6 linked regions of the Xenopus tropicalis genome follow. The protein of the gene in region 3 purifies or fractionates together with the protein of the main gene of each other region. This does not show direct contact. Links are inferred from orthologs where the notes say so. Each region holds a gene or a part of one and is shown on either strand. Other genes may lie near its edges.

Region 1 (4,863 bases), on a different chromosome or scaffold from region 3:
CAACTGTATGAGCTCATGTCAAAATAAGGGAGTATATTTTCCCATTAATGTTCAAAACGTCTCATTTGGGATTCTGTTTTCCTCTAGAGCCAGGGATTGTCTAGACTAGATGGCCATGTGCCTTTTGTGGAGCAGAAAGAGAGCATGAAAACACTATCTGGTTTTCCCTAACCAGAATTTATATAATCATATATAATCTCTCTTCCACTATATATAGGAGCACTTATGGGTCTTAATAAACCTTTTTTTCTCCATTAAGTCAATATTTCAGTCCCCCCTGGGACCGCTCAGGATAAAATAAAAGTGCATCCCATATTGGGAAAGAAAGGCAGGAGAACAAAAGTCACACAGGGAAGGGAGGGAGTTCTATACATATATAGGTTTGGGACCTGTTATCCAGAATGCTTGGGACCTAGGGTTTTCCGGATAAGGGATCTTTCTGTAATTTGGATCTCCATAACTTAAGTCTACTAAAAACATTTAAATATTGAATGAATCCAATAGGAGTGTTTTGCCTCCAATAAGGATTAATTATATCTCAGTTGGTATCAAGTACAAGGTACTGTTTTATTATTACAGAGAAAAAGGAAAGCATTTTTAAAAATTAGAATTATTTGCTTATAATGGAGTCTATGGGAGATGGGCTTTCTGTAATTTTGAACTTTCTGGATAATGGGTTTCCAGATAAGGGATCCCATACCTGTAATAGTTTTGTTGTACTAAACAGCCAGATGGCTTAAAGGACCATAAGATTGACATTTTCATGCGTGACCAATTTTTAAGGTGGCAATTCATTGGCTGATAAAGAACTGGTGTACAGTGAGGCTCAGGGTCTTAACTAGGGAGGAAGGCGAAGCCCCAATGCCACTTAAGGCTAGATTTGGGTATAATGACTATATTCTTCTCTTCTGGAACCGCAACTTGAGCATAATTTAGATTGAGGTTATTTCCACTTAGCACATATTTGCTGTTGTAGATATTTTTGAAACAACGCCTGAAACGGTCATCATTTTTTTTTTCATATGTCTGACTTTTCATGAGCTCACGTACTAAAACTTTAAAGGAATGTTGCACCCCAAAGTGGGGTTTAAAACAATTAGGTCTGAAAATCACTGCTCTACACTTTCCACCTGATACATGTTGGCCAAATAGGTGGATGTGGATAACCCAATTGATTGAAACTGCAGGAAGAGAATCTGAACTGCAGTTCTTTTTCATTGCCTCATCTGCTGATCATTTTGGATTTGATAGAATTGCAGGACAATATGTCAGAAGGGCCTCCAAATCTGGCATACATGTCTAGATGGCTGGGAAGTATGGTTAAAATCAACTAATATTCCTGAACAAATCTGGGCAAGCTTTAGCATATGACAACAGTTTTAGGTGGTTTCATGTTCAGGCCTACTGATGTTCAATATTTTAGCTGTTCACTGCAGGGATTCTGTCATGATTTTTATGTGTAAATTACACTGTTTACATAGCAAATAATTCACTATCATTTAAAAAGTTATTGTTGAACCAACAAACATTTTTTAAGTTGTAATATTGGTGTGTAGGCGCCATCTCAGTGCATTGTGCCCGAGTCTGAGCTTTCAGAAGGAGCCAGCGCTACACATCAGAACTGCTTTCAGGTAACCTATTGCTTTTCCTACTCCCATGTAACTGGAGGAGTCCCAAGCTGGACTTGGATTCCTTACTATTGAGTGCTATTCTGATATCTCCTGGGAGCTGCTCCCTTCCTATTGTTCTGCTGATCAGCTGCTGGGAGGGGGTTATATCAGTCCAACTTGAAGCTCAGCAGTAAAGTGTGAGAAAATACTCTAAGAACCAATGGTGGAAATGAAACTTCACTGGCAATAATCTTAATACTCAATGGTTATGTAATAAAAGGTGCAACGTTTGTTACAGGGCTAGGCACCTACAGCAAATAAGCAGAAAGCATTTCCTCTTGGTTGCTACTGATTACTGCACCTGGGCAAGCTTTGTGCCATTAATTACATATGGGGATACATTTAAAACAGTGTTTAATAACTAACACAGGAGCTACTGTCTAAGATTTACTTGCCTTTAAATATGGCAGTATAATTTAAAAAAATATATTTAAAAATGCCTTACCTTAAAAAAGCATGGGCTTAAAATACATAGAGAAGGGTCATAACATCCTAAAGATACTGGCATTTACAGATTAAAGAATTAAGTGTGTTATCTACTTCAGCCTTGCATAGGAGATTTTACTCCCTGCATTGGCATATACTGCCCTTTGGTCTAATTAAGCTTGTGTATTGTAAAGGAAAATGCCTTTGGAAGAATTTTCCTTTCATGTTGTGCCCATTATATACCTCCAAAGCCAAGGCTGTCTTGTCGTAGGCATTAGGGACGCGCTTCTGGATAACCCTGGCAAAAATGGGCCCATTCTGAAGGTTAGGCAGCGGAGTGTTGACGCTGGGCTGGGCATAGGGCCCTGGCTCCGGCCCACCCAGTGGTTGCGGGTGCGAGTTTTCCTGGTTACCTCCAATCAGGGCTGACCCTGCTGAAGAGGGAGGCCTGTACTTCTCGACGTAAGGCACAGGTATCATGCCCCGTCTTCCATCGTTGTCCTCAGCATTCCACCACTGCTCCTCGGGCTTATCTCGAATTCTCAGGATGTCTCCTTTCTTAAATGGAAGATCTTCATCATCATTGCCATTAAAGTCAAAGAGAGCTCGCACGTATTCAACTTCTTCTTGTCTTTGGATTACACCAGATTGTTTAGACTTGGAAACTGGTTCTATTAAAGTTGTAGTGTCCAGGTAATGGATCTTATAAAATTCCAAAAGAGATGGTAAGGAATCAAACTCTTGGTCACCTATTCTGAATCGGGACTGGATCATTCCTGCAGAAGGAGGAAAAAACAAAACAAAAAAAGATCACAACATGTACTAGAAATCAGCACTTATATGATGATATATGATCTGGAATGCATGTATTTATAAGGTTGATAGAAAAAAGTGGGAATACCTGACCCAAACCTTAAAGGAACAGTAACACCAAAAAATGAAAGAGCTTTAAAGTAATAAAAATATAATGCACTGTACTGGTAAAACTGGTGTGTTTGTTACAGTAACACTACTATAATTTATATAATAAGCTGCTGTGTAGCCACAGAGGCAGCCATTCAAGCTGGAAAAAAGGAGAAAAGGCACAGGTTACATAGCAGATAACAGATAAGTTCTGTAGAATACAATGGTGTTTTATCTGTTATCTACTAAGTGCCTGTGCTTTTTCTCCTTTGAATGGCTGCCTCCATGGCTACATAGCAGCTTATTTATATAAATTATAGTAGACTTTCTGAAGTAAACACACAACTTTTACCAGTGCAGGGCAGCAGCACATTATATTTTAGTTACTTTTATACACTTTCATTTTTTGGTGTTACTTTAAGGTAGCCATACACGGGTCAATTCTAACTGCCGATATTGGTCCTTTAGAGATCTGTTAAGTGTTATTTCTCAAACAGTATCTGTCTGGCTGTGCCCATTCTAACATTTGAAACATTAGTAAAATAAAATATCTTCCAGGCAAGACAATTTGCAGTGAAACTGCACCAAAGAAGAATGTTTACATTTGTGGCTAAATATAAGATACAAAGTACAGAGGTGTTAAATATGGCCTACTCAACCACAAAGAACCTAGCATGTCCGGCAAATATACATTGTATTTTGCTACTGTTGAGTCACCATGAAAATATTACTGTCACAGGAAGGCACTGCACATTTCAACCTACTGATTCTTTGATGTCCTGCAATAGACATAACCTCAGATTTTTTCAAGCTCACTGAACACCCTTATATGAGATGCCCAAGTGTGTTCCTTAGCTGGTATTAGTTTTTATATCTGCCATCATAGGAAATTTATTGGAGGGGGGCTCTGCACAGATTCCACTAAGACTTTCAGGTAGCATTTTCACACCTAGACCTCGATTAAAACGGACCATACACTAAAGGCGAGGTCAGACAAAGAGTATACAGTGAAGAACATAAGTATCTGAACACTAGGGCTGGGCGATATACCGTTTAATACCGAAGTTTTTATTTTTTAAAACTATATTAATTTTTCAGATACCGCAATACCGGGGTGTCAAAGTGCACACACGTCAAAGCGTGCACGTCCGTGATGCGCTGACGGCGCCGGTTCTGCGTATGCGTGGGGGGGTATTTAAAGCTATCAAACGCCTCCTCCTGTGCTATGTTGTCTGCGGCTTTGCCTGGGAAACTAAGCCTGCCTGATTTACCTTACGACTTTCTGTTGCCGATCCTTCGCTTGCCTGACTCTGATTTTCAATACTGCAGTAATTATTCTCTAATTTATTAGGAAATGGGGTTAACACCTAATCATGCATGAAAAAAAAAATACAGTGACACCGATATAATTTTGAAAAATACTGCGATATAGATTTTTGGTCATACCGCCCAGCTCTACTGAACACCCTGCGATTCTGCAAGTTCTCCCACTTAAAAATCATGGAGGGGTCTGAAGTTCACATTGTAGGTGCATTCCCACTGAGAGACAGCATTTAAAAAAAATATTCAGGAAATCACATTGTATGATTTTTAAAGAATGTATTTGTATTGCACTGCTGCACATAAGTATTTGAACATCTGAGAAAATCAGTGTTAATATTTGGTACAGAAGCCTTTGTTTGCAATTACAGAGGCCAAACGTTTCCTGTAGTTCTTGACCAGGTTTGCACACACTGCAACAGGGATTTTGGCCCACTCCTCCACAAAGATCTCCTCTAGATTTTCTATTGGATTTAGGTCTGGAGACTGGCTAGGCCACTCCAGAACCTTGATATGCCTCTTACGGAGCCACTCCTTGGTTATC
Region 2 (5,174 bases), on a different chromosome or scaffold from region 3:
GGGTATGATTTAAGAGGCTATTGTAGCACCACAGTTATTGTTTTCTTTCCTTTACATTATTCATAATAAGTTCAATGGTTTATAGGCAGCAGTAACCTCAAACTCCTACACAGAAATTATTCTTCCTTGCTGTTGAAGGAATTTTGTTTTTATAAATATGCATAAATGTGTGTGTTCATGGCTGAAAAGGATTTTAAAACTGGTTAAGGTATTTATTGCATTGTTTATATAGTGTGTGTATGTGTGTGTTTTTCCCATTGCACAAAATATTTAAGTAGACCATATTTATTTGAAGGATAAAGACCTCGAGTGTTTATTACTTTTATATGAACAAATTAAAATCTGTTTTCCTTAAATTTGCTCCCCTTGTAGCCCCTGGATTTAGTGGGTCAGGTGTCCCAAATGGCTACCCCCGCTACCCATCCTTTGGTGAAGCATCCTCGCACCCATCAAGCAGACATCCCTCTGTGGGTAGCACACGCCTTCCTTCAGTTGGTGAAGAATCTACACACCCTTTACTTGTCCCTGAAGACCATGTAAGTGCGAGGTTAATATATCCCTCCCTTCTAAAGTAGTATTGTAGTTATAGCTTAATTACATTGCTATTTATTGCAATATAGGTATGAATTTATCACTTTTTTAATAAAATATTCTAAAACTGTATTTGTTTTTGTTCTTGGTACAGGTAAATTTATTTCATTTTATTATTTATCTAATTTACAGTTTTGATATGTTATATGTACTAAATTACAGCGCCTTTAAAGAGTTTAATCATCATTCAATTTAATCCCTGCCCAAGCAGATCTTACAGTTTATTAAATTTCCACAACACACTAGGGTCAATTTCATGAAGCCAATTTTTTTTTCCTTTTTTAATGTTGGAGGAAATATCCAGTTGATGATATGATGCAGACACAGGGAGATCATATAGTACAAGCTACTTGCAGCTAGTTTCAATATCAGACTTAGGGTTGCCACCTTTTCTAGAAAAATATACCAAAATGGTGCCTGACAGTACAGTATCTCAATAAAAATTTTTGCCTGTGTTTCAGCCCCCTTATGTGATTACCCCTGTATAATTAAGGTGTATGGCCATTGGTCTATGTATGTCACAGACACTCACTAATGGAAAGACAGGCAAGTCAGTTTAGTTCTGGAGGATGTTTTTCAAAGCTGCATGCCTATGGCTACAAACAGCCATTAGTGTTTAGTCATTTAAGTTGAAACCAGTTATACTGCAAGACCATATTTCTGACCACCGTAACCCTTTGTGTCACATAACGTAAAATCTACATTTTGTGAATAAAAGTACCTATGTGCCACGTATTGTAGATTCTATGTTCTGCTGTACTTTTTGAGTCTGGGAGTGGAGCAGTGGCTTTAAAAGCCACTCCTTCGCTTTCCACTTCCCATTTTTCAGAGAAAATATAATCGTCTGCAGTGGTTTTCTTTCTTTCTTGATGGAAAGCACACTTGAATAGGGCTCTCTGTTAGTCTGTTTTTTAACATATAATCTTAGGATACAAACTTTTTGTAAATGCAGGGATTAAAAGGTGTGAACAACACAGTGGATTAAATTTTTAAACAATACAGGGGGTTTACAGCCTGAATCTGAGGTTTTAACCATGCAGGGGGCCAGTACTGATACCATTTAAAGCTTACACCAAGGTAAGCCATCAAAGCAGCCAGACAGGTGGGGGGCCACACAGAGGGGGGCCGCGGGCCACCAGTTGGACAGCACTGTTCTAAAGGATAGTGCAATTCGTAGTTTTTTTTTTTTTTTAATGACGGCAACATTGCAGATAAAGATAACTGTAATTAGTTACCTGTGTGTTCGTTTTACATTTTAATGTTTTCCTTTTTGTTTAGGTGCATACATATGTTAACACTTCTGGAGTACAGGAGGATCAGAAACAGAGGCCAAATATTCCACCTGCTCAGGAGGTTTGTGTTTCCAACCTTGAAGTAATCCATGGCCACAGTGAACCTGCTGTTCCTGAGAGAGATCCACAGGTTATTCTTGAGCCTGAAGGAGTGAAGTTTGTTTTAGGACCAACACCTGTTCAGAGACAGTTAATGGAGAAAAAGAAACTGGAGAAACTTGAGCAAAACCAAGCTAGTGTAAACAATGGTGAAAGCAGTTGTCCAAATAACACAGAAGGGGACACTGGTTATGACAGCGATGAACGCAGAGAAACTCCTGGCAATAAAATGGTGTATGAGAATTTAAATGGATTATCCATTTCATCATCTGGGGTGCGAAGGGGACGAGTGGTACCGCCCATTCCCACCGATATCCAAAATGTAAATAACTCTGCACAGAGGAGAACTGCCTTGATAAACTATGAAAACTTACCATCCCTTCCTCCAGTCTGGGAAACTCGGAAACCCAGCAGAGAGGAAGATGAATCACTAGGACCAAAGACTCCATCCTTAAATGGGTTTCATAGTAACTTAGACCCAATGCATAATTACGTGAACACTGAAAATGTAACTGTTCCATTAAGTGCTCACAAAGTAGAGTTTTCTAGACGTCGGGACTGCACACCAACAGTCTTCAATTTTGATATAAGGCGTCCAAGTCTGGAACAAAGGCAGCTTAATTACATACAGGTTGATTTGGAAGGTGGCAGTGACTCTGATAACCCCCAGACTCCAAAAACGCCGACCACTCCACTCCCACAAACTCCTACGAGGCGTACGGAGCTATATGCTGTGATAGATATTGAAAGGACTGCTGCCATGTCAAACTTACAAAAAGCACTGCCAAGAGATGATGGTACGTCTAGAAAGACAAGGCATAACAGTACTGACCTACCCATGTGAGCCTCAAGCACGCTACTTCATTTTGCACCTTTGTGATATTTCTTTTAGAAAATCCACAAAAAAAACCCATCTTATACACTAACACTTTTATAGACTAAATTTTACATGTGCTTTTGTCTAAAGGGAATTGATGTAGAGCAGGTACTCCTAAAATAATTTTCACACTACAGTAGTCATATGTACTGTATAGCTGCATAGCTGCATTTTTGTGCCTATTTAATTGAATAGACTTGCAGTGATATGCCAGTTTTAAGTTTATCAACATAAAAGACACTTGCCTTTAATATTTTACATCTAGACTGTTGCCATTTAAAGCCGCAGATGCATTTTAATTTTGGGGATGTTTCCAGTATGAATGTGTTAAATATATATACAGTATGTATTTTTATACTAATTGTTTTTTTAATAATGCCAGGAATTTGCCAAATATTTCTCACCAGCATTTTGCATTATGGACATTAGTACAAGTGTACATTTGCTTTTGATCATGAAATAAAAAGTGCTGTATTACAGCCGTGCAACATGCTGCATTCAGACAAGCATGTTGCTTTTTGCACGCAAAGCACTATTCAAGCTATGTTCCCAAAATGTCCTCCTGCATTAAAAAGTCCTTTGCAGATATTTGGTTGCAAAGGATTCTAGTTTTTACATGTTTTTGTGGGGGGGAGGGAATATGTGAGTTACATTATGCCTGGGTTGCATTTATTAAATGCAGATATTTACAGTTGTATAAAGGCCAAACAATATTTCTCTTTGTTTATCCCATTGTATTATATTGTAAGATTACTGTATGTTCTACTTTAAACTACAAAATGTTTAATTTTTTCCTACATAAAAGTATATAAATAGCAACTTTTGTATAAAGGTAGTGTAGGCAATATTTGAGTTTCCTTTTTTTAATAATGAAATAGGCAATGCACATTGCCAAATATTATGACAACTTTTCTAAAGTCTCTTAGGTTAATATCTGCACTAAACATTCCATGATACTGTGTTACTATTGAGCCCTGCAGTAGTGACAGTTCATATGCAACACAATGTAGAGCAGTGGGTTGCTGGAAACATTGCACTGCAGGGCTCAGCAAAAGAGATACTATGCAGAAACATTATCTTCATTAAAAAATGTTCTTGATTTGAACACTAGCCTTTAATTTAATGTGTTTGGTTTGCATTTTCAGATATTGACATTGCTTACCAGATGTTCATTTAAAATACTCATATATATATATTTTGATATTGACAATATTGTCACTTCATTGGTGCCAACATCATTTTTGTAGCATGGCAATAAAATACTGATTTACACAAGGCTTTCTAATATTGTGTTTTGTACTTAATGTTACTAGTATAATTTTGCCATATATTAAACAGAAACCAAAGAATGGATTTACACTGTGATTATTTATATGCACTGTAAATTGCTTTTAGGCTAACTGCATAATTTTCAAAATGTGTATTATGTATATTGAAAATACCCCTGCATTCACTATAAAAAGCTCTTTGGACCATATGATGAATTATTATTGCCATCTAGTGCTCCTCTGAAAACAGTAGATATGACCCCCAGGTGATGAGTATTCAGCAGTTAAACATTTTTACTGCATTCAGATGGCTGACATTCAGGGCATATATTTCAAAATATGAATTTATAGCTTAATATGTAAAAACTCTCACCCATGTTCTAATTATTCCAATGGGTATTTATCAATTGGTGAACTCTTAACTTTTACACCGCTTCTGAAAATCCCATAGGAATGAGTACAACATGAGTTTTTATTTATTAAGCTCTGCCCCTTAGTCAAAGCTTTACTTGACCATACACAGGCACAAGCCTTATCATTAATCATTCTGATGAACGTACGTTTGTCCACCAAAACAGGGTTTTGGGTTTTTTTTTTATACTTTATTTTCATTTTTCAAATATAAACATAAATCAGGGTGACATGCATAGAGAAAAAAAAGGGGAACAGAAGCAAAAGCCTGTTAGTTACCGTGTTATGCATATTCACAACATTGTTTAGTACTGTGTTGCTTTACTGTATTGAGAACCATTTAGTAAATAGTGTTTCCTGTTTATATTTACAAGAAAGGGGGAAGAGAGGGGGAGAACGGTTAGGTGGGTCAGAGCAACTTAGTGATGATAGGTTCTTGTATATTTTTTTAATTCACTTTCTGTGGCAACAGGGTGTGACTCCTGTCTTCAGCACTTCTACAGATGGATGCCATGCTGAGTTTCTTTAAGCATTGTCTATAAATAGTGTTTACTTAATTTTAATACTTTTATTAACATGCCTATAACAATCCTACACTAATGAATAGATGACAGTGGCATTTTTTTTTCTTGCAGA
Region 3 (5,548 bases):
ATAAAACATGGCAACCCTACTTTCAAATAGGAGATAACAAAATTGAGGACATAAGCTCTCAATAGATGTCTCTTCCCAGTTTTGCAGCCTCACAGTGTGCTACAAGGGATTTTACTCACTGTCCCTGAATACTCACCACCAGGCCCAGATTTGCGGCGAGACCACAAAAGCCAGGGCCCATAAATTTAGGGGCGGCATGCCGCCCAGCTGCATGTAAAGATTTGCTCTCATACGGAGCACTGGGGACGGGACATGGCGAGGTGACCAGGGGAACTCTTCGCTACATGGGTGACAAATATGAAAATACCTTGCCCTCCTTACACATTTTTCAGCAATTATGCTGAATTGCCAGAAGTAAGGTGTTACATATTCTGTGATGTGAATGTTAGTGGGAGTAGTATTTTCAGAAGATCTGTCGTTCACATGTAGCGCAAATTTTCCAAGGGAAACAAATCTCATCAGCCAATGTCCCAAACACAAGAAACTCAAACTGTAGATAATAAAAAATGTACACTTAGGGTGAAAACTACTAGTAGCAGCTACTTTTCCATGGCTACTAAACGCCAGAAAATCCCCTGCCATAGACAATACTGAGAATTGCCTCTCCTAAGACACACGTAGAGACTGTTATCAGTAAATAATCAGCATTGTCTATTTTAGTAGCAATGACAAGTAGCTGCTACTAGTAGCTCTGTGTGTCTTCACCCTTAGGGTGACGACACACAGAGCTTCCAGTAGCAGCTACTTTTCATGGCTACTAATCTCCAGAAAATCCCCTGCCATAGACAATACTGAGAATTGCCACTGCTAAAACACACGTAGGGAGTAGGGACAATTATCAGTAAATCATCAGCATTGTCTATTTTAGTAGCCATACTAGTAGCAGTCATCATAGTCTACCTGTCGTACCCTGTGTGTGTGCCATACTCTGCCTGCCCTATCCTGCCTGTGTGTATGGCACACACAGGCAGTATAGGGCAGGCAGAGTATGGCACACACAGGCAGGGTAGGGCAGGCAGAGTATGGCATACACAGGAAGGGTAGGGCAGGCAGAGTATGACACACACAGGCAGCGTAGGGCAGGCAGAGTATGGCACACACAGGCAGCAAGTGGGTGTGATTTAAAAAAGGGGAGCTTCCATTATCGGCCCTCCACCATATATGACGGAAAAATTCCAGCCCTTGGTACCACAGAAGTTGGACAGCACTGCATTAGTTGATACATTTCTCAGCAGTATCTGTGCAATGTTAGCAACTCTTAACTCAGAAATTATGCTCCGCAGGGCCAAATGTAAGAAATGTAATAACTAATGTATGAAATTAGAGTAGTGTATAGTGACCTCTTCCCAGAGGATTTTTAGAGAGATGAGAAGATGAAAAATTACACTTTGAACTTCAATATTAGAAAACCGGTCAAAAATAAAAAAAAATGGCAACTGAAAAGTTTTTATATCTGGTGTACTATCTGAAAACAAATAAACTGAAAAAAGTAGATACACTGTTTACTGGTCAAAAAGGACTTTTAGGGCAAAAAAACAAAAAAAAGTAAAAAGAAATTGATGTGTGTATCAAGGTAGGTTTAAAAGAAAGATTACTAAAGCAGTCTTCTTAGGCCCCTAACAAATAAATACATTTATTTACTAATGTTTTGGGGTCCTAAATTTAATTTACTGTGGGGCCCAGTAACATGTAGTTACACTACTGGGTTGGTGTCTCCTCTCATGGGGCTATACACTTAGAGCCATCCTTAAAGCATAGCAAAAAACGAGAGCTACATAGTGCCTATATATTAGATTTATAATTTAAAAAAAAATGCACCCAGTCTCTGCCCGCAGATTTCCTTAGGAAATCTGGTGATAGAGCTGGGGGCAGGTTTAGAGGTACAGGGTCAGGACACTGCGGAACTGATATCACGCGCAAGCTGCATGTGGGTGGAGGATGGGGCAGTGGAGGAGCTCAGACTGGGGTTGGGTGGCCCCCTGAGGTGGCAGCCCCAGTGAGCCCCAGACACATCAGTCTGACACTGTACACAGTTTTAAAAACTAACAAGATGCTTTACAAGGAACAAATATCAGAACTATCCCTGCAAATTAGGGGTTTGTGGTAAGTAAACTTGACATAAATTGAAAAATCAAGAGAATGAAGCAAAAAATGTATAAGGTTTCCCCAATACTGCAGGTTTATATGAAAATACATTGAATGTATTGAGCAGCATATTTGTATGCAGTACGCTGATCAAAGGTATAGTACCATAATAATAAAGCTATTTGAAAAAAAAAAAAGTGGTGCGCTTGTGGCTAAATCAGGCGTAGGCGGAGTTAAGGTCGGTGGTCACATGACGGCGGCAGGCAGCCCTTCTGTCGCCCCCTAGATTGCGCGCAGTCGCAATACAAGTCTGTTCCAACGGCCGCTGAGCGCTGCTGTCTGGCGAGAGTGTGGGGGGAATAAACTAACAACAAAAATAATAACAAAGTGACGCATCAAGAGTCCTCTTGCGCCATCATTACCACAGGCTGGGTCGAGCTGCTAAGGGAAAGAGAAGTCGGCCGTAAACAAGGAGGGGCGGCGAAGGAGCAGACAACAGGGAGGGGAACCGGGGTGTCTTTTTTTATCCAGTGACGCCCGTCCAGACCCCCGTTTTCTGGATGCTCAAGGAGAACGCTGCGCCACTGGAGCTTCCCAGTCTGCCTTTGTTATTAGCAGAGAGACGGGGCGGCGCGCTGGCAGCTCCTGTGTGGGCCCGGGAGGGCAGAGCAGCCCCTGAATCGCACCTCCATCCGCGGCCTCCTAGCTCACCCCGGAATTAAGAGAGGTCGGGACTAGGAGTAAGCAAGTGCGTGCCTCCGGCCTAGTCCCACCCATCTCCTATGTATACACACAGCTGTCATATATGTACAGGCAGCTGTCAAGTGCAAGCGGTGTCCATGAGCCGCCCCCCTCCTTCTCTTTCTCCCAAAGGGGAAATGTGCGCCCTATGCTGCCCCGTTTAAGGGGCAACTTCTTCAACTTCCCCACCCTTATGGATCATTTGTTGCCTTAAAGCCGGCATCTGCTCATTTGGAAGGCGGTGGAGTTTATCTGGCGGGGCGGGGGAGCATAAGTGGCACCCCCACTTGAAGGACCCAGTCTCCTTACCTGGCAGGCGCCTTTCTCCCCCACCTGGCATTGTGAGGATTAGGATAATCCGCCCCCAGCTCTACAAATGCCGAGGGAAGCCGTCATGCAGGCCCCACAGTTTCAGTACGACTTCTTCAGTGAGGAGAACTCCCCCAAATGGAAGGGTCTGCTGGTTGGTGCCCTGAAAAAGGTAAGAGGGGTTACAACATGGATGTTCAACCTGTGACAAACCAGTCTATTTCTGCAACACCCAGAGGCCACAGGCTGTTTTGTTACATGGAACCTTAAAAAACTCTGCCTATAAACTTTCCAATATAATTCAGCTACACATTTTCAATGGTTTTAATGTTATTTGTAAATGTAATTGCTATTGAAAAGTAAAACTCTGCTTGACCTTTTGTATACCAAGGCCTGTCTTTTTAAACAATGTAGCAGAAGGCAGCTAATTAACAGACCTCCAAATAATCATGCTTCTGCTACATAGTATCAAGAGATGGTACAAAAATACAGTTTTCAGTTGCAATTGCATGCACAAATACATTTAAAACCAATCATTTCATTTTAATGAATTGCATGTTGGTAAGTTTCTTAAAATTTTCATTCATTAGATAGCATTGTATTTGTGGGTTTTAAGTCCCCTTTTACATAAAAGTCAAATGACTACAGCTGTCCCCTGTCACTGGCCTTATTCACACTCCACACTAATTAAATGGATATGTATAATGGAACTTAGCTGGTCCAACTAGTCAGAAATGAAATCTCGGTCCTCTTTATGGCTGTGATATTTAGATGTCTGTTAAAACCAAGGCCAGATCTGATTTTAAGTACTGCAAGGGGCAAAAGTAGGTGTCAACTATGATCCTTTCCCACAGGTTCAAGGGTTTGTTCACTTTTTTTTCAGCACAGACATTTTCAGATGCAACAAGGCTTTTTTTTTTTTTTCAATTGCCTTCTATTTATTATTTCTAATGTATATTTTTCTAAAATTGAAGTTTAAACTTTAATGGTACTGTCTCTTGTGTTTGGCAGCTCAGCAATCCAGGTGCAGACCCTGAACTGTTACATTTTGCTACATTAGTTGATACATTTATCAGCAGCAGCTGTGGAATGTTAGCTGCTTTTAATAAAACTCCAGCATTATACTCAGCAGAGTCCAAGATAAGAAATGTAGTAACTGACATATCAAATTAGAACAGGTTACAGTGTCTGTGACTCCACCCTCTCCCAGAGCTGTTTTAAAGCAATATTAGAATACCAATCACAAATACAAATTAAAAAGCAATTGAATAAAATTATTGCTGGTGTCTGGAAGGTGAACAATGCCATAACGGTCACATTACTGTACATCTTATGAAAAACTTGTATAAAAAAAAATATACACCTAATTTTTATGTTGCTAGTGTAATACTCATTACAATAAAAGGTCTGCACATGCATGCAACCCAGACCAACAGAAAGTGATCCTTGGGAAAGTTTGGCAAAATGGCATTGCAATGCTCACTGGAATAGTACCTGGGCTGCCACGTTTTTCAGCCAAGAAGAGTTCTGGCTCAGGGTCTGAGGATATCAGTTAGAATCACTGGGGAGTGTACCCCTCAATGTTTAAATTTTAGACCTCCTCTAAGTGTTTTGAAAATGAAAAATTGAGTGAGTCATGTCAGACAGGTTTAGTAAAGGGAAACTTAGTAAATTATTATTTTTTTATGAATTTATATTTTTTTTTTCTCTGCAATGTAAACATATGTCTATTTTCTAAAATCACAGGTCCAAGCCCAACAACCAAATGTATATACATGTATTTGCTAGGTTCTTATTGTCATATTTAATCAGTCTTTTATTTCTGTTCAGCCATTCTTCTGTTTGTCTTCTATTCTGTCATTTAGGCCAATTCTTGACTTTTATGGATTTGGATCAATGATTCTAGCAATCTGGTGACAGACTAGTTTTAGCAGTTGAAATGACAGACTAGAGAGCTCCTGAACAAAAAATGTGAAATAGTAAAGAAAAAAAATTCAGATATTCATTGTTTCATAGCAGTGAAGATTCTCATTTATAATACATTATGGTACCCTGAAATTGCACATTATTTATACTTCTTACATGTCTGTAAATGTGTGTATTCTTTTTGCTTATGTGTAACACATTGAAAGACATATGCTGGCAATGCTATGGGATAACTGCATTCTGCAAAAATTTCAAATGTTCCTATTTCATATGTTAACTCTCTACGTAAAGTTATTTCATACCAGAATTGGGTTGCAGTGTAAGGTAGTGGAACATCTACACTTTCCATTCCTTTCCATATATTCTAAAAAAACAGTTTAATTTTGGGAGTCATAGACTACAAAAAGTGATCTTATCCAGTGAGAAGCTTGCTACATACTGCCTGTCCTCTGGGTTTGGCTACTAGTGAGGGGGCTAATGGTTGTGC
Region 4 (4,863 bases), on a different chromosome or scaffold from region 3:
CCCCCTTGTTTAGGTTGGGCCCCAGAATAAGCCTGGGAGTGAGGTTTGGGCCCCAAACAAAGGACTGAGTTGATTGTTTTTTGGTAGAGAAATAAGAATGTATGATGAAGGGGCGGTTACCCAAACCTACACAGGGCCCTCCCTCTATTAAAAATATAGTTGTTATAGGAAAATTTCCCCTTTAATATGACCAGCATTGTCCAATACAGGCTTCAGACTTGCCTCCCCCTGTAAATGTTGTGCTATGGCCCCGCCCCCTGTGAGCCAGCCAATAGCATAACTCCAGCTGGAGGGCTGCAAGCCTGGAATACAGACAGCATCGAGTCCCATGCCCGGGTATTGCCAGGGCAGATTGTCTGTGCCAGGGGTCCAACTGACTGGGGGTAAGTGCCAGCACAAGAATAGCAATAACCTGTATAGGGTTAAACCCAGTGACTGGTGGGCGGGCCCTGGGGCCACACTGCAGCTTGCCCATTGATAGAGGAGCAGCATTGCACAGAGAGACCCGCGTGAGAGACAACCTTGCCCCTGAGACTGTCCCAGCTTGGGGGGAGAGGTCTGACGTGTGTGTGTTCATACTGTTGGCTGTGGCCCCTCGTGCTGGGGGGCCCACAATGGAAGGAAGAGACTACAGGTCCCAGGTGAGTGTGCAATCTTCCTGAGCCCTGGCTAAGGCACAAGGTACAGAGAGGTGGGGGGGGCAACACAGCACTGGCATAACCCCCACATGCCAATCAATTGCCCCCGGGCAGGTAGGGGGCATTGTCAGCTGGAGACGGACGAGAAGTAACTTGCAGGATTCACACGGATTTGCCCTTCTGCCCCCACTGAAGCTTGTCCATCCCTCCCCCAGAGGAAGCACGTTACAGGTCGGGTAAAAATCAACCAATGGGGAAAAAGCACAGACAGAATGGTTTCACCCCCTTCTCTGTCAGTTGTGGTACAGTCCCAGGGTGGGGGCTAGGCATACGTAGGTACAAGAGCCACCCCCCCCCCCCAGTCACAATGTGCACTTATCTACCTGCTGGCTGAGAATGGGGTCACTCAGGGTAAAGGCACTAGAGAGGATTGGCCGGATGCAGCTTGGAGTGTGTGCTTGCAGGGATCAGCCTGGCATTGTGCTGAAAGGAGACACTGGCAGTGCCATGGAAGAGTCTGATCCCAGGAGTAAGGCCCATCTGCTCATTGTCTGCTCACTGTGTCTGCAGGGGCAATGGCCTTAGCTGCTTGGGGCAGTTCAGACATGCTGCCCCGGCCGAGGTGAACTGCTGGCCGACAGAATACGTGGGGCACTCTTGGCCAAGCTCGGGCCCCAGGAGGCTCCTCCTACTACAGTAGGGCTGGCCTTGCTCCGTAGAAAGGAAAGACAGGAGGTGGTGGGGGTAGTGTTGGTGAAGGCTCAAGTGTGAAGGGGCGGATCCCAGGGGCGGGGTCACTGTCTCCGCTCCACCGGCTGCTGAAGGCAGAGCTCGCTCCCAGCAGAAATAATAGGCAAGCGATTGTCCATGTGATAGCTGATCAGGTGACTGACGCTCTCAAACCTGTGGTCTTTGGTTCGAACCTGGCAGGAGGCAAAGCGGGAGTTAAATGGGAGGAGTCCTGGCACAGACCATTCCCTCACACCCCTCAATTCAGCCCTTAGTGCCCCTGGCACAGACCATTGCCTCACACCTAGGGGTTCCTCAATTCAGCCCTTAGTACCCCTGGCACAGACCATTGCCTCACACCTAGGGGTTCCTCAATTCAGCCCTTAGTACCCCTGGCACAGACCATTGCCTCACACCCCTCAATTCGGCCCTTAGTACCCCTGGCACAGACCATTCCCTCACACCCCTCAATTCAGCCCTTAGTGCCCCTGGCACAGACCATTCCCTCACACCTAGGGGTTCCTCAATTCAGCCCTTAGTACCCCTGGCACAGACCATTGCCTCACACCTAGGGGTTCCTCAATTCAGCCCTTAGTGCCCCTGGCACAGACCATTGCCTCACACCTAGGGGTTCCTCAATTCAGCCCTTAGTACCCCTGGCACAGACCATTCCCTCACACCCCTCAATTCAGCCCTTAGTACCCCTGGCACAGACCATTCCCTCACACCCCTCAATTCAGCCCTTAGTACCCCTGGCACAGACCATTCCCTCACACCCCTCAATTCAGCCCTTAGTGCCCCTGGCACAGACCATTCCCTCACCCCTAGGGGTTCCTCAATTCAGCCCTCAGTGCCCCTGGCACAGACCATTCCCTCACCCCTAGGGGTCACAAAGCTGAGCCTTCTACTTACCACTCCTTCAGGGTCCACAAGCAGAAGGTGTTTGGGCTGCCCACACTGCAGGCCGGTCAGTACGTACTGCCCCGGGGTGGTGGTGCTCTCCCTCACCAGGAAGTCCCCATTCACTTTCAGCAGCCTCTCTGCTTCCTTGCGGTTCATCTTTCCGTGGTACCAAGACTCCCGCTTCAGCTGATCCTCCATACTGACTACTGCCTGAGCCGAGGGCAAGGCGTCCTCAAACGGCTCTACAGGGGCAACGGGAAAGTTAGTGGTGGTACCAACAGCGTTAGTGCCCATTGGGTCTAGGAGAGACTGACCCGCAGACATGTCGGTACCATTAGTGCCCATTGGGTCTAGGAGAGACTGACCCGCAGACATGTCGGTACCATTAGTGCCCATTGGGTCTAGGAGAGACTGACCCGCAGACATGTCGGTACCATTAGTGCCCATTGGGTCTAGGAGAGACTGACCCGCAGACATGTCGGTACCATTAGTGCCCATTGGGTCTAGGAGAGACTGACCCGCAGACATGTCGGTACCATTAGTGCCCATTGGGTCTAGGAGAGACTGACCCGCAGACATGTCGGTACCATTAGTGCCCATTGGGTCTAGGAGAGACTGACCCGCAGACATGTCGGTACCATTAGTGCCCATTGGGTCTAGGAGAGACTGACCCGCAGACATGTCGGTACCATTAGTGCCCATTGGGTCTAGGAGAGACTGACCCGCAGACATGTCGGTACCATTAGTGCCCATTGGGTTTAGGAGAGACTGACCCACAGACAAGTTGGTACCATTAACACAAGGTTGGGGGGGGGGGTAACAAATGCAGGTTACGAATGGAACGCACTCATGTCGAAGATGTCCCTCTGGCCGTTTGCTGCCCGCAGAGGCTGCCGAGACTTCTCCAGGTTCTGGACATTGACGTAGGAGGGGTCATCGAAGAGATCGGGCCGATTCGGAGGCCGACTGCAGGGGACTGGAAATCTCTCCCTGCCTACGGGGGACAAGACAGTGTGAGTAATGAACTACCCCCACCCCATGAAGGGTCTGTAGCTTGGGGACATTTAGGGGAACCAAAGGGAGGTATATGGTCCAAGTACAGTAACTAACAGGGGGAGGAGCTATACAGCCATCTCCAGTAGGACATGCAATGTGGGGCTGCACATTAGGCACACAGGCAGATGGTACACTGGCCACTAGTGGCTCCTACCTTGCACTGTCGGCTGTGGCTTCCTGGAATCCTGTTCGGCACCAGAGACCTGTCCCACGGGCTGTGGGAGAAAGGAAAAGCTCAGCCCGGATCATGTTTCCTACAGCACCCTCTCTTCCTCTCTCTGCCCATGAACTTACCAGGGTGGCACCCATGTGATTTGGGCTTTGCCTAGGAACTGCCGGTGCTACCCCATCTCGCAGCCGCATATCTACTACTCCCCCAATAGGGGGCTCTTTCCCTGGGAAATCATTGTAATAGGCATGGTCTGGGAGCTCCTCCTCTTCCTCATCCCACGCCGACCCATCAAAACCAGCCATTCTGCCGGGAGCACGCAAGGGGAAGAGACAAAAGTGAAATTCCCTGACTATTCCTCTTACTTACCCTTTATTTAATAATGAGAGGCACTTACCTGTCATGGGGGGTGACCAGTTTGGGGGGATTTTTGAGGTATTGTTTGAAGCGTAGTTCAAAGGCCTGTCCTATTGTGCTGATCACGTCCTGAGCAAGGCCTTCTGGGCACTCCAGGATATGGCAGGCTGTGAGAGAGCACAGATGTGGTGACTCCTCCTACTGCAAGCAGCAATGGCTATATATATATATATATATATATATATATATATCTCTTGTACCCACCTCTCTGATTGACTGGATCTTTGGCCACATAAGCGACATACTCAGCTGTATCCTAAGGGGAACAAGAGAACGGATTGCAGGACAAGAGAAGCCTGTATGAGCCCCGCCCCCCAACTCCTATCCATACATTAGCTCCGCCTATTTCATACACCATTAAGCTGGCCATACGTGCTCCTATATAACGGTATGAAACAAAGATTGTTCCATTATACCTACCATTGATATCCAAAGGTTCGCCGTATCATAGCTAAAACTCATCCCCCTCCCATATACAAACACCCTCCCCCTCCCTCCCATATACAAACCCAGGCACACAGCCCCAGCACTTACGGGATCTCCCCCAGAAGCAAATGATATTGACTGCATGTGGTGGTTGGCGATGATCTGTAATGGAGGAAGAGACAAAGGCTGCAATTATTATCAGATTCCCCCTCTGCTGGAACCCAGAGGCCTAGAATGGTAGCCAGCGTGGCCAACCTCAGCAGGGCTAGTAGGAGGTCACATGACAAGACCTGTACAACATGAGGGCTGGGGCCCAGGTGTCTCACCTGTTTGCAGTCGGAGGCCATGAGGTTGAGGCTGCTGGTGGAGACGGTCAGAGTGATTGGCATGCCGGCGAACTTCAGGTTGCTCTTCCCTAGGATGGAGTTTAAGGACCGCCCACAAGTCTTTGGGGGGGGGACATGGAGAGAAAGAGTTAGGTAGGACTGACCAATACAATGGGCAGTGCAGCAGGCCAGGTAGGTA
Region 5 (4,863 bases), on a different chromosome or scaffold from region 3:
CTGCAAAGTGTCCTGGGAAGGGGTATAAATAGCATGTCTTTAGTAGGAAAAAATTAAATTATATGCACGTTACAAAGACAAACATTAATAAAAAAAAACATCCTTAGTGCTTTTAAAGTCTGTAAAATTAAATGCTTTATCAGTAATCTTTCAAAATGTAATTACTGCAGCAATGGAACAAAAATGATGCAGAATCTACTTCTCTATACACATAAATCAATGGCCCCTCTTATTTTCATCTTTGTGTCCTAACAATCTATGATTGTGTTTGTTTGGAGAAATTAACTCCATAGCATATTGACTTTAATTATCATTAAAGGAAACTGATGGGGAGCATTCTAATGTTAAGCATCAAACCGTAACTGCAAATGAATATAAAAAAAACCACACAAATAACAGGCCAAACAGAGGGTAACAAATTGGACACAATACTATAAAAGTACCTCAAATTCTTCCCAGAATCCTTGCTTAAATTTATCTGCAGTCTCTGCTGGCTTGCTAAGTTCCTTTACCCGGCTTTCAATTTCTGCAGCATTAATCCGCGTTGTGTTCAGTGGCTAAAAGAAAAGCTAAATTCTTAGCATATGGGTAAATAGGTACAAGGGGTTAATTGTCATGTTTAATTAGTCTTACCTGTTTTAGCTGCAGTACAGTTCCTAAAGTCTCAACCATAGGATTTTTTTTATAATGTTCCACGAGATCTGTCAGAGAGTCAAATTTCTCTCCCCCTCCAACATCATATTTTAAATCCTGGAGAAAGCAGAAAAAAAATGCAAGGTATCTGCATAATACAATAATTCAATATACTAAGGGGCTGATTTACTAACCCACGAATCCGACCCGAATTGGAAAAGTTCCGACTTGAAAACGAACATTTTGCGACTTTTTCGTATGTTTTGCGATTTTTTCGGATTCTGTACGAATTTTTCGTTACCAATACGATTTTTGCGTAAAAATGCGAGTTTTTCGTATCCATTCCGAAAGTTGCATAAAAAGTTGCGCATTTTTCGTAGCGTTAAAACTTACGCGAAAAGTTGCGCATTTTTCGTAGCGTTATAACTTAACGCTACGAAAAATGCGCAACTTTTCGCGTAAGTTTTAACGCTACGCAAAATGCGCAACTTTTTACGCAACTTTCGTAATGGATAGGAAAACTCGCGTTTTTACGCAAAAATCGTATTGGATCCGAAAAATTCGTAAAGAATCCGAAAAAATCGCAAAGTACCGATCATTACGAAAAAAACGCAATCGGACTCCATTCGACCCGTTCGTGGGTAAGTAAATCAGCCCCTAAGTTTGTGTCTCCTGGTTATGAATTATTTCAAAAGCCCAATCTAGTGTAGTAATAATTTGTGCTAAAACCACCAACAGAATGTGGCTAATATTAACCCCTTGAATGGGAACTAGTTTAACATACAACTTCGACCAGGCATACCCACATGGAAGCCTATGACATGGACATAAATACGGTTGACAGCAATTTATGCCACCATAAAGAGGGAAGGCTACAAAATTACCTTCCAGTTCCCATAAGGGAAGAATGTAGGGCCCTGCTGCAAAATATCAGGATGATATAGCACAGAGGAGGTCCATGACCATATAAAAGGCAAGACGGTAAAGAATGAATGCTTATATAAAGGTCATGGAACTCCCCCAAGTGACATCTAACATTCTCAGATTGTGTTATTTTTTATATGAAGCAGGTTTATATAAGTCATGTGACATATGACATCAAGCTTTTTTTTTTTATCTTATGAAACAAAAAGCAAAATTATATAGTAAATAATGTACCCGGTACAGGTATTGTAAAGTATAAGGAAATTATAAGTTACTGAGGAGATCCATGACCATATAAAAGCACAAGGCTAAAGGCAGAGTGCTTTTATACAGATTATGGAATTCTGAGGGGACTTCTAATGTCCTCATATTTTACTACAGGGGGAACAGTATTTACATTATTATTTATAATACACAAATTTCTGTGAGTCATGCGACTAATTATATCACTAAGCAGTGATTATAACTGATGACATCACTAAGCACTATTTACAATGATATAATTAATACCAGGAGTGAGATTATCAATAATTGTCCTGCCACCTAAAACCAGCAGATATGCCACAATTAATGAGAACTGTATCTTCAGCAGTCACAGAAGTTGAAAGAGATTTTTTTCCCCCTCTCTATTTGCTCCAGTCACAATTTATCAATGTGCAAATTTGCTTGTGGAGGAAAAAAAACAAACGTGCAACAATATGGTTTTCTATTTACTATAAATATAAGGAATGAACCAAATCCACAGATTTAGGATTCATCTGAAGACTAAATACACATCAAAAAAATTAACCAAATCCATATGCAAATAAGCAAGTGGCATACGAAAAAAATGGTCACCCTTAGTTTACAGTTATCTAAAGTCATGTAATATTAAAGGGATAATTAGGCCAGACATTGACACACACATAATTATATATATTGTATATATAACAAAATCGCGCCTATTTCACATTAGTTTTTCTTCAACAGAAACTGTTCACATTTACTGTGAACAGGAAAAAAGGGCTTGATTCCAAGATGAAATTAAATGGCTTTGCTATACTAAAACTTAAATCATAATAATGCAGTCAAAAGGATGAATATCCCTGCAATACTGCCAAGATTCATATCTATGGTTCCCTAACCTAATTTGTAACAGAGTAAAATATTACTTGAGTGTGTCAGCATTCAGCAAATGAATGACTTTAGTTGCACATTTTCTTTCTCTAAAGCAGGCTTGACCAGTCTCTCTAGATGAAGGTTTATGGCCAGATATTTTTACACCTTAACATTTGTAATATAATTATAAATATTAATGAAATTGCCAGCTTGCTCTGCAGAACTGTACAAGAGAAGTGTGTATACCTCCAGCGCCGGATTTCTTATCTGGGTGCCCCGAGGCTGCCCCCATTGCCCTCTCCCTGCGCATGCGCAAATAGCTGTCGTGGACAGCATCACTATGCAGCAGACAAAATGTAAAAAATCTGCCAGTTGAACAATACAGCATTTTAACTAACAATAATAAGGGGGGAAATATCAAATATCCAACTAGGCCAGCACAGAAATTAATTGAGGTTGCATTTAAGTACTCAAGATATCAAATAACATATTGATCTTTAATTAATCTTTAACATTAGTCACACTATTTAAGTCTTTAGTAAGAAGGTGGAATTGTTGTGCATTAATTAGGACAACATAAATATAAGCCCTTCAAATAGGATGTGTACCTGGCATCGTATCATAACATGTGTCACCTTGGACTTTCCATCATTGCTTTCTGCTTTGTCATCACCTGTCCGTACCGAAAGGACAAAATCTCCAGGGTGGCTTTGGCTTTCCCGCACCAGAAAGCTTCCATGTTTACCTTTCTCTGTCAACAGCTTCTCTGCTTCTTTCCCTGAAAGATGCCCATGGAACCACCTGCAGCCATATAATGTAAATTAACATAACAACAAAGACTTCCAAAAAGTAAATCATCTTTATCAATAAAGGCTTTTAACAGGCTAGGCTATTATGCTCTACAAGTGGATCAATAGATTTATCAATATTACCGTTTCAGGAGATCCACTTCTCAAGTGCATATTCTTAAACTGGAGACTAATTCATAAGGTAATACAAAGAATTTGAGAAGGACTTTGAAGGTTAATACATGAAAGAAAAGTCAAAACATGTGTCAAGGTGAAAAACAGAGCTCTCTCACCTCTCAGATGTTGGGTCTGCACAGTTTAGTGGATATTTCAGTTCAATAACATCACCATTCTTTTCTTTCAGTTGCCCATGGTGTTCCATATAATACTGAACAAGTTCAGCCAATGTTGCAAACTTTTCCCCTCCATACAAGTCATAATAATCCCCAGTATTCTGTATTTTTATGTGTGTCACAGCTCCGTTCCGCCTAAAATGCAAAATGCAGTTAATTTAAGTAGAGACAGACAGAAGAGACATGAAGAGTGGCCTTTAAATTTACTTTTAGTATGATATAGAGCAGTTCTCCAACCAGTGTCTTGTGAGCAACAGGTTGCTCACCACCCCCTTTGATGTTGCTCCCAGTGGCCTCAAAGTAGGTGCCAGTTTTTTAATTTCTGGCTTGGAGGCGTGTTGTGGAAGCACAGAAACACAATTTTAAACCAAGGAGACCTACTGCTCCTCATTTGGTATCCCCAAAGTGTTGGCTCACCAACACTTTTTACACCTGAGTGTAGCTCACAAGTAAAAAAAAGCTTGTGGATCCCTAATGTAGAGAGTGTTTTTCTGAGACAATTTGCAATTGGTCTTAATTTTTTATTTGCAGTTTTTAAATTTAGTTTTTTGTTCAGAAACAAAAAAATATTTTCCCTTTTATATTATAAACAGAGTGAGAGACTAGCATGGTTTTTCTTTCAATCTGTGTAATCCAGTATGTATGTGTAAGGTCAGATACTAATCATGCAGCTTTTCTACTGTCCTCTGATATTTTGCAACAGACAATGGGTGAAATAACAGCGAAGTATTATGTAAAACATGCATTGTAATTTATTGTATAGTAAAATTAGTTAGACTGCATATTTACGTGAAATAATGGCTCTTCCCTTTTCACTTTACACAGAGTAAAATATCAACTCTACATGCAAAAACGATGATGTGCAACTAGTATGATGTTACATATACCAATTACATGGAGAAAAACTAAACAGCAATTACAGCTTTCTTAACTGCTTTTTAAAAAATCCAGTGGATTAAGCGGTTTTACAGTGCTGCAATATATGTTTGGAAATATATCTACTAGTGTGTAATGTGCATTAAATTTGAGGACTACTTAAACAAATTTGGTCCAGCCGTCAGAGCGAG
Region 6 (4,863 bases), on a different chromosome or scaffold from region 3:
ACAAATCCATAACCCTATGAGATTCCAGCCCTTCCCTCCTTCTTATAAAGCTCCGGTGCCTTTCTAGCTGCCCAACACTGACATGAATTAGCTCATAAAATGCCAGTCTGTGGGCACCGTGCCAGCTGCCACCTCACAGAGCAGCAACACAAAGTGCCATATGGTGGGGGGCATTTTATAACTGCAGTACGAAGCTGCTGCTGGTACAAATGTGCCCCTATAATTCTGCCACGTGAATTTGGCTTATTTACCCCAACTCTATGGGGCAGATTTATTAATCCACGGACGGTCCGAAGGCGTCTGTATGCGTTTTTTCATAATGATCGGTATTTTTGCGACTTTTTCGTATATTTTCCTGAAACTTTTTCATCGCCGTCGCGAAAAAATCGGATTGGTTTTTCCGCCGTATACTATCGCTCAATACGAAAAAAACCGCGACAGCGATGAAAAAGTCGCGACAAATAAGAAAAATCGCGACGGCGATGAAAAAGTTGCAAAATTTTCGTTTCCAATACGATTTTTTTCCCTTTCGGGATTCGGATTCGTGGATTAGTAAATCTGCCCCTATGAGTATCCATACTGAATATGGGACTTGATAAAACCAAAATAATTCATCCTTAATGGGGAGGAGGGAACGGACCTTAATGGGGAGGAGGGAACGGACCTTAATGGGGAGGAGGGAACGGACCTTAATGGGGAGGAGGGAACGGACCTTAATGGGGAGGAGGGAACGGACCTTTATGGGGAGGAGGGAACGGACCTTAATGGGGAGGAGGGAACGGACCTTAATGGGGAGGAGGGAACGGACCTTAATGGGGAGGAGGGAACGGACCTTAATGGGGAGGAGGGAACGGACCTTAATGAATTTGGCCAGAGTTTTCTAAAGAAATAAGGAAGGTTAATTTATTAAAGACATTTGCATGAACATTATAGAAATCTAACCCTAAAATAATTAATTTACCAGAGACTTGATCATATCTTAGAGATATATATATTATATAATGCATACATTTTGTCAATAAAAATATTTCCTACCATTGTGGTTTCTCGTTGGCTTATTTGCAGATCAGTAAGTGACTCCATATGTATCAGCAGGCCCCCCAGGTTATTGAGAGTCGGGGGGCTACATTCAGCTGCAGGAGGGTATTGGACCTGGGAGAGGCAGCCCGGCCCTGGGGCCAAAAGAGAGAGGCGCCATTTGGCATGTGGGATTAGGCAGATGCATGGGTCTCTGGGGCAGAGAGAGAAGTCTATAGGGGGCAGAAATCAGCTGCAGGGGGCAGAATGTGAGAATGAGACCATTGGTTGGGCCAGAGCTGCAGGTGTAGGAGAGAGGGTTCTGTGTCACCTGGTAGAGAATAGCGAGGAGAGACTTTATTGGGCCCCATCAGAACATTGTCACTTAACCTAATTTAAAAAGTTCTAAAGAACCACGCTGCAGAATAAAAAGGATTCAGAACCCAGTATTTCTAAAGTGGATCTTGCTGAGTAAAGAGTGGAACTCTCTGGCTTATTCATTGGGCAGGACTGTGCAGAGAAATGATGCACTGTATGTATTATTGGTTTGTGAGCCTCGTAATGATATGATTGGGAATGAGGGGGGACTCTTGCTGCTGACTCAGATGATTGACCCATACTGTGATGAGGAATGATTGGGCTTGTTGGGTGGCTCATGTTGGGGGTTTTGCTAGAGGAATGATTGGGCTTGTTTAGTGGCTCTTGTTGGGGGGTTTTGCTAGAGGAATGATTGGGCTTGTTGGGTGGCTCATGTTGGGGGTTTCTGACAGAGGAATGATTGGGCTTGTTGGGTGGCTCATGTTGGGGGTATTTGCTAGAGGAATGATTGGGCTTGTTGGGTGGCTCATGTTGGGGGTTTCTGACAGAGGAATGATTGGGCTTGTTGGGTGGCTCATGTTGGGGGTGTTTGCTAGAGGAATGATTGGGCTTGTTGGGTGGCTCATGTTGGGGGTGTTTGCTAGAGGAATGATTGGGCTTGTTGGGTGGCTCATGTTGGGGGTGTTTGCTAGAGGAATGATTGGGCTTGTTGGGTGGCTCATGTTGGGGGTGTTTGCTAGAGGAATGATTGGGCTTGTTGGGTGGCTCATGTTGGGGGTGTTTGCTAGAGGAATGATTGGGCTTGTTGGGTGGCTCATGTTGGGGGTTTTGCTAGAGGAATGATTGGGCTTGTTTAGTGGCTCATATTGGGGGTTTCTGACAGAGGAATGATTGGGCTTGTTGGGTGGCTCATGTTGGGGGTGTTTGCTAGAGGAATGATTGGGCTTGTTGGGTGGCTCATGTTGGGGGGTTTTCCTAGAGGAATGATTGGGCTTGTTTGGTGGCTCATGTTGGGGGTGTTTGCTAGAGGAATGATTGGGCTTGTTGGGTGGCTCATGTTGGGGGTGTTTGCTAGAGGAATGATTGGGCTTGTTTGGTGGCTCATGTTGGGGGGTTTTGCTAGAGGAATGATTGGGCTTGTTGGGTGGCTCATGTTGGGGGGTTTTCCTAGAGGAATGATTGGGCTTGTTTGGTGGCTCATGTTGGGGGGTTTTGCTAGAGGAATGATTGGGCTTGTTGGGTGGCTCATGTTGGGGGATTTTGCTGGAGGAATGATTGGGCTTGTTGGGTGGCTCATGTTGGGGGTTTTGCTAGAGGAATGATTGGGCTTGCTGGGTGGCTCATGTTGGGGGGGTTTGCTAGAGGAATGATTGGGCTTGCTGGGTGGCTCATGTTGGGGGATTTTGCTAGAGGAATGATTGGGCTTGTTGGGTGGCTCATGTTGGGGGTTTCTGACAGAGGAATGATTGGGCTTGTTTGGTGGCTCATGTTGGGGGTGTCTGGAAGATGATTGAGGAATGGTAGGAAGCCTACAGCATACATCTAGTGCTCTATATAGTGCCCCGGGCCCCCCTGTTTATCTGGGCATTGCCATAAACAAGCAGCTAAGAAATGAGCAGGGCACACAGTGTGATGAACTGTTCTGATCTTTCCTATTGGCTCAGTTAAACCTCTTCTTTTATTGAAGGAATTTTGAGGAGCGCGACCAAGTGGAGGCCCAGAGATACGCCTTGTGCAAGTACGACTTTGTGGCCCGGAACTCAAACGAACTCTCTGTCCTTAAAGATGATGTCTTGGAGGTAATGTGTGGCCACTGTATGGCTTGTTGTTTGCTTCCTAGTGGCATTAAAGGGGAACTCCACCCAAAAGCTGTTTTATTTGTATAGAGAACATCCTCCTAATAAAAAGGCATTTCTGCCAATTGCTTTGCACAGCAGTGTCTGTCCCTTGCTTGCGGAGTTTATCCGCACCCCGAGAATCTGCCTCATGTAGGAGGAGCCTAACAGCTACTGATTTTTCCTCTTGGGTGGAGCCAGAAAAATCCCAAGGGGGGAATCTGTTGTTCTGCTTTTAGTGAAGCCCCCAAATCCTGTAGAGTAAAGTGCAAACATGTGACTCTTGTGTGACTTCCCCAGGTCCTCGATGATAAGAAGCAGTGGTGGAAAGTCCGGAGCTCGAGTGGGGCAGTCGGTTTTGTGCCAAACAATATTTTGGTAGCAATGAAGCCACAAGATCAGTCAGCAAAGCCAATGGAAGCCGCGTACACGCACACAATCCAGGTACCATCTAGCGCCTGGGTCAGTACCACCTGATATGGTGCCCCCGGCACACACACAGCCCAGCCTCTAATGTCACACGTTGATTAATCTGCCCCCATTATATTGCCAAGCTGTGTGTTAGTGCTGATTGTGTCTGTCTGTAGCTTCTGATGCCAAAGGAGGAGTTTGAGATCTTCCAGGTACCACTTCCCCGAGTGCCCCCTCTGATCATTCACTTCTACCTTTGCACTGACTCAAAGTTGCTTTTCCTTTAGCCTCCCTATTCCTTCTGTGTGTTCTCCTTAATGGTACATACCTGTATATCTGTCTGTGTGCGTGCCTGTCCCTTCCCAGAATTCCCTGTGTGTGCATGCCTGTCCCTTCCCAGAATTCCCTGTGTGCTGTGTTTGCATGTCTGTCCCTTCCCAGAATTCCCTGTGTGCCTCTTTTGTTCGTTCATTTGGGCCTTTGGGGGGGCCTGGGGCCACACCTTTCTCAGAGAGGATGTGGCTTTCAATCCCCCTGGGTTGCTGGGGCTTTTGGTTTCCCAGGTGGGAGTGTCTTGGCCTGTGGATGTTATGGAGACATTGGGTGTGTAAGAGCAATATGGCGGCTCTCCTTTGGGTGCCAGTTGTGTTATATCTGACTCTCTCTCTCCCCCCCACCCACAGCGATTACTGGGAGAACTGTCTCAGGTAATTCCTTCTTCCCTACTGCGCTCACCTTTATAAAGCTTGGGGGGGTAAAACCATTATCATTGAAATATACTTATTTAGCAGTATGTGCGCTTGGGTAATCCTAAATAGGAAACCGCCATTTTAAGAATTAAGGGCCTCCCCCTGGGATCATAGGATTCACAGTGCACACAAACAAGCCAAGGCACACATACATGCTAGGCCCCATCAGCCAATGAATGGGCAGTTCTGCCTTTTGCTCTCACACTACTTCCTGTTACAGTTAGAGCTGCATCACTTCCTGTCAGCTGATCTCTGAGGGAGCACACAGCCCATCACTTCCTGTCAGCTGATCTCTGAGGGAGCACACAGCCCATCACTTCCTGTCAGCTGATCTCTGAGGGAGCACACAGCCCATTACAAAATGGCGGCTCAAGGGAAAGGGCAATATTTACTGATATATATATTCCAGTTTGGGGTGATTCTTTAATAGGCAACTTAACATAATATAAACTGTCTGTTGGCTAAGCATTCATTCTGGGGGTATAGTTTTCCTTTAATTTTGTTTCCATGCTACCCCTAAGGTTCTGGTATAA

Evidence for each region.
Region 1: the proteins of sos1 (region 3) and crk purify together in Homo sapiens (affinity purification with mass spectrometry; 6 studies listed by BioGRID and IntAct, with this or other methods). This does not show direct contact. The link is inferred for Xenopus tropicalis from reciprocal best matches to the Homo sapiens genes SOS1 and CRK.
Region 2: the proteins of sos1 (region 3) and frs2 purify together in Homo sapiens (affinity purification with western blotting; 5 studies listed by BioGRID). This does not show direct contact. The link is inferred for Xenopus tropicalis from reciprocal best matches to the Homo sapiens genes SOS1 and FRS2.
Region 4: the proteins of sos1 (region 3) and shc1 purify together in Homo sapiens (affinity purification with western blotting; 14 studies listed by BioGRID and IntAct, with this or other methods). This does not show direct contact. The link is inferred for Xenopus tropicalis from reciprocal best matches to the Homo sapiens genes SOS1 and SHC1.
Region 5: the proteins of sos1 (region 3) and ptpn11 purify together in Homo sapiens (affinity purification with western blotting; 4 studies listed by BioGRID and IntAct, with this or other methods). This does not show direct contact. The link is inferred for Xenopus tropicalis from reciprocal best matches to the Homo sapiens genes SOS1 and PTPN11.
Region 6: the proteins of sos1 (region 3) and eps8 purify together in Homo sapiens (affinity purification with western blotting; 5 studies listed by BioGRID and IntAct, with this or other methods). This does not show direct contact. The link is inferred for Xenopus tropicalis from reciprocal best matches to the Homo sapiens genes SOS1 and EPS8.

What each region holds. Positions count from the first base shown.
Region 1 is NC_030678.2:46,094,673-46,099,535, forward strand, and holds part of crk (adapter molecule crk), read right to left. Parts: intron 2,873-4,863; coding exon 2,340-2,872; intron 1-2,339. UniProt on the Homo sapiens protein: Involved in cell branching and adhesion mediated by BCAR1-CRK-RAPGEF1 signaling and activation of RAP1.
Region 2 is NC_030679.2:59,097,248-59,102,421, forward strand, and holds the end of frs2 (fibroblast growth factor receptor substrate 2), read left to right. Parts: intron 1-372; coding exon 373-536; intron 537-1,869; coding exon 1,870-2,826; 3' UTR 2,827-4,208; downstream 4,209-5,174. UniProt on the Homo sapiens protein: Adapter protein that links activated FGR and NGF receptors to downstream signaling pathways.
Region 3 is NC_030681.2:42,908,152-42,913,699, forward strand, and holds the start of sos1 (son of sevenless homolog 1), read left to right. Parts: upstream 1-2,338; 5' UTR 2,339-3,202; coding exon 3,203-3,307; intron 3,308-5,548.
Region 4 is NC_030684.2:145,090,289-145,095,151, reverse strand, and holds part of shc1 (SHC-transforming protein 1), read right to left. Parts: intron 4,785-4,863; coding exon 4,665-4,784; intron 4,501-4,664; coding exon 4,447-4,500; intron 4,169-4,446; coding exon 4,117-4,168; intron 4,020-4,116; coding exon 3,893-4,019; intron 3,802-3,892; coding exon 3,621-3,801; intron 3,542-3,620; coding exon 3,481-3,541; intron 3,265-3,480; coding exon 3,118-3,264; intron 2,513-3,117; coding exon 2,280-2,512; intron 1,562-2,279; coding exon 1,433-1,561; 3' UTR 1-1,432. UniProt on the Homo sapiens protein: Signaling adapter that couples activated growth factor receptors to signaling pathways. Participates in a signaling cascade initiated by activated KIT and KITLG/SCF.
Region 5 is NC_030677.2:163,817,444-163,822,306, reverse strand, and holds part of ptpn11 (tyrosine-protein phosphatase non-receptor type 11), read right to left. Parts: intron 3,932-4,863; coding exon 3,737-3,931; intron 3,457-3,736; coding exon 3,264-3,456; intron 751-3,263; coding exon 634-750; intron 558-633; coding exon 444-557; intron 1-443. UniProt on the Homo sapiens protein: Acts downstream of various receptor and cytoplasmic protein tyrosine kinases to participate in the signal transduction from the cell surface to the nucleus. Positively regulates MAPK signal transduction pathway. Dephosphorylates GAB1, ARHGAP35 and EGFR.
Region 6 is NC_030679.2:157,685-162,547, reverse strand, and holds part of eps8 (epidermal growth factor receptor kinase substrate 8), read left to right. Parts: intron 1-3,022; coding exon 3,023-3,134; intron 3,135-3,470; coding exon 3,471-3,614; intron 3,615-4,863. UniProt on the Homo sapiens protein: Signaling adapter that controls various cellular protrusions by regulating actin cytoskeleton dynamics and architecture. Depending on its association with other signal transducers, can regulate different processes.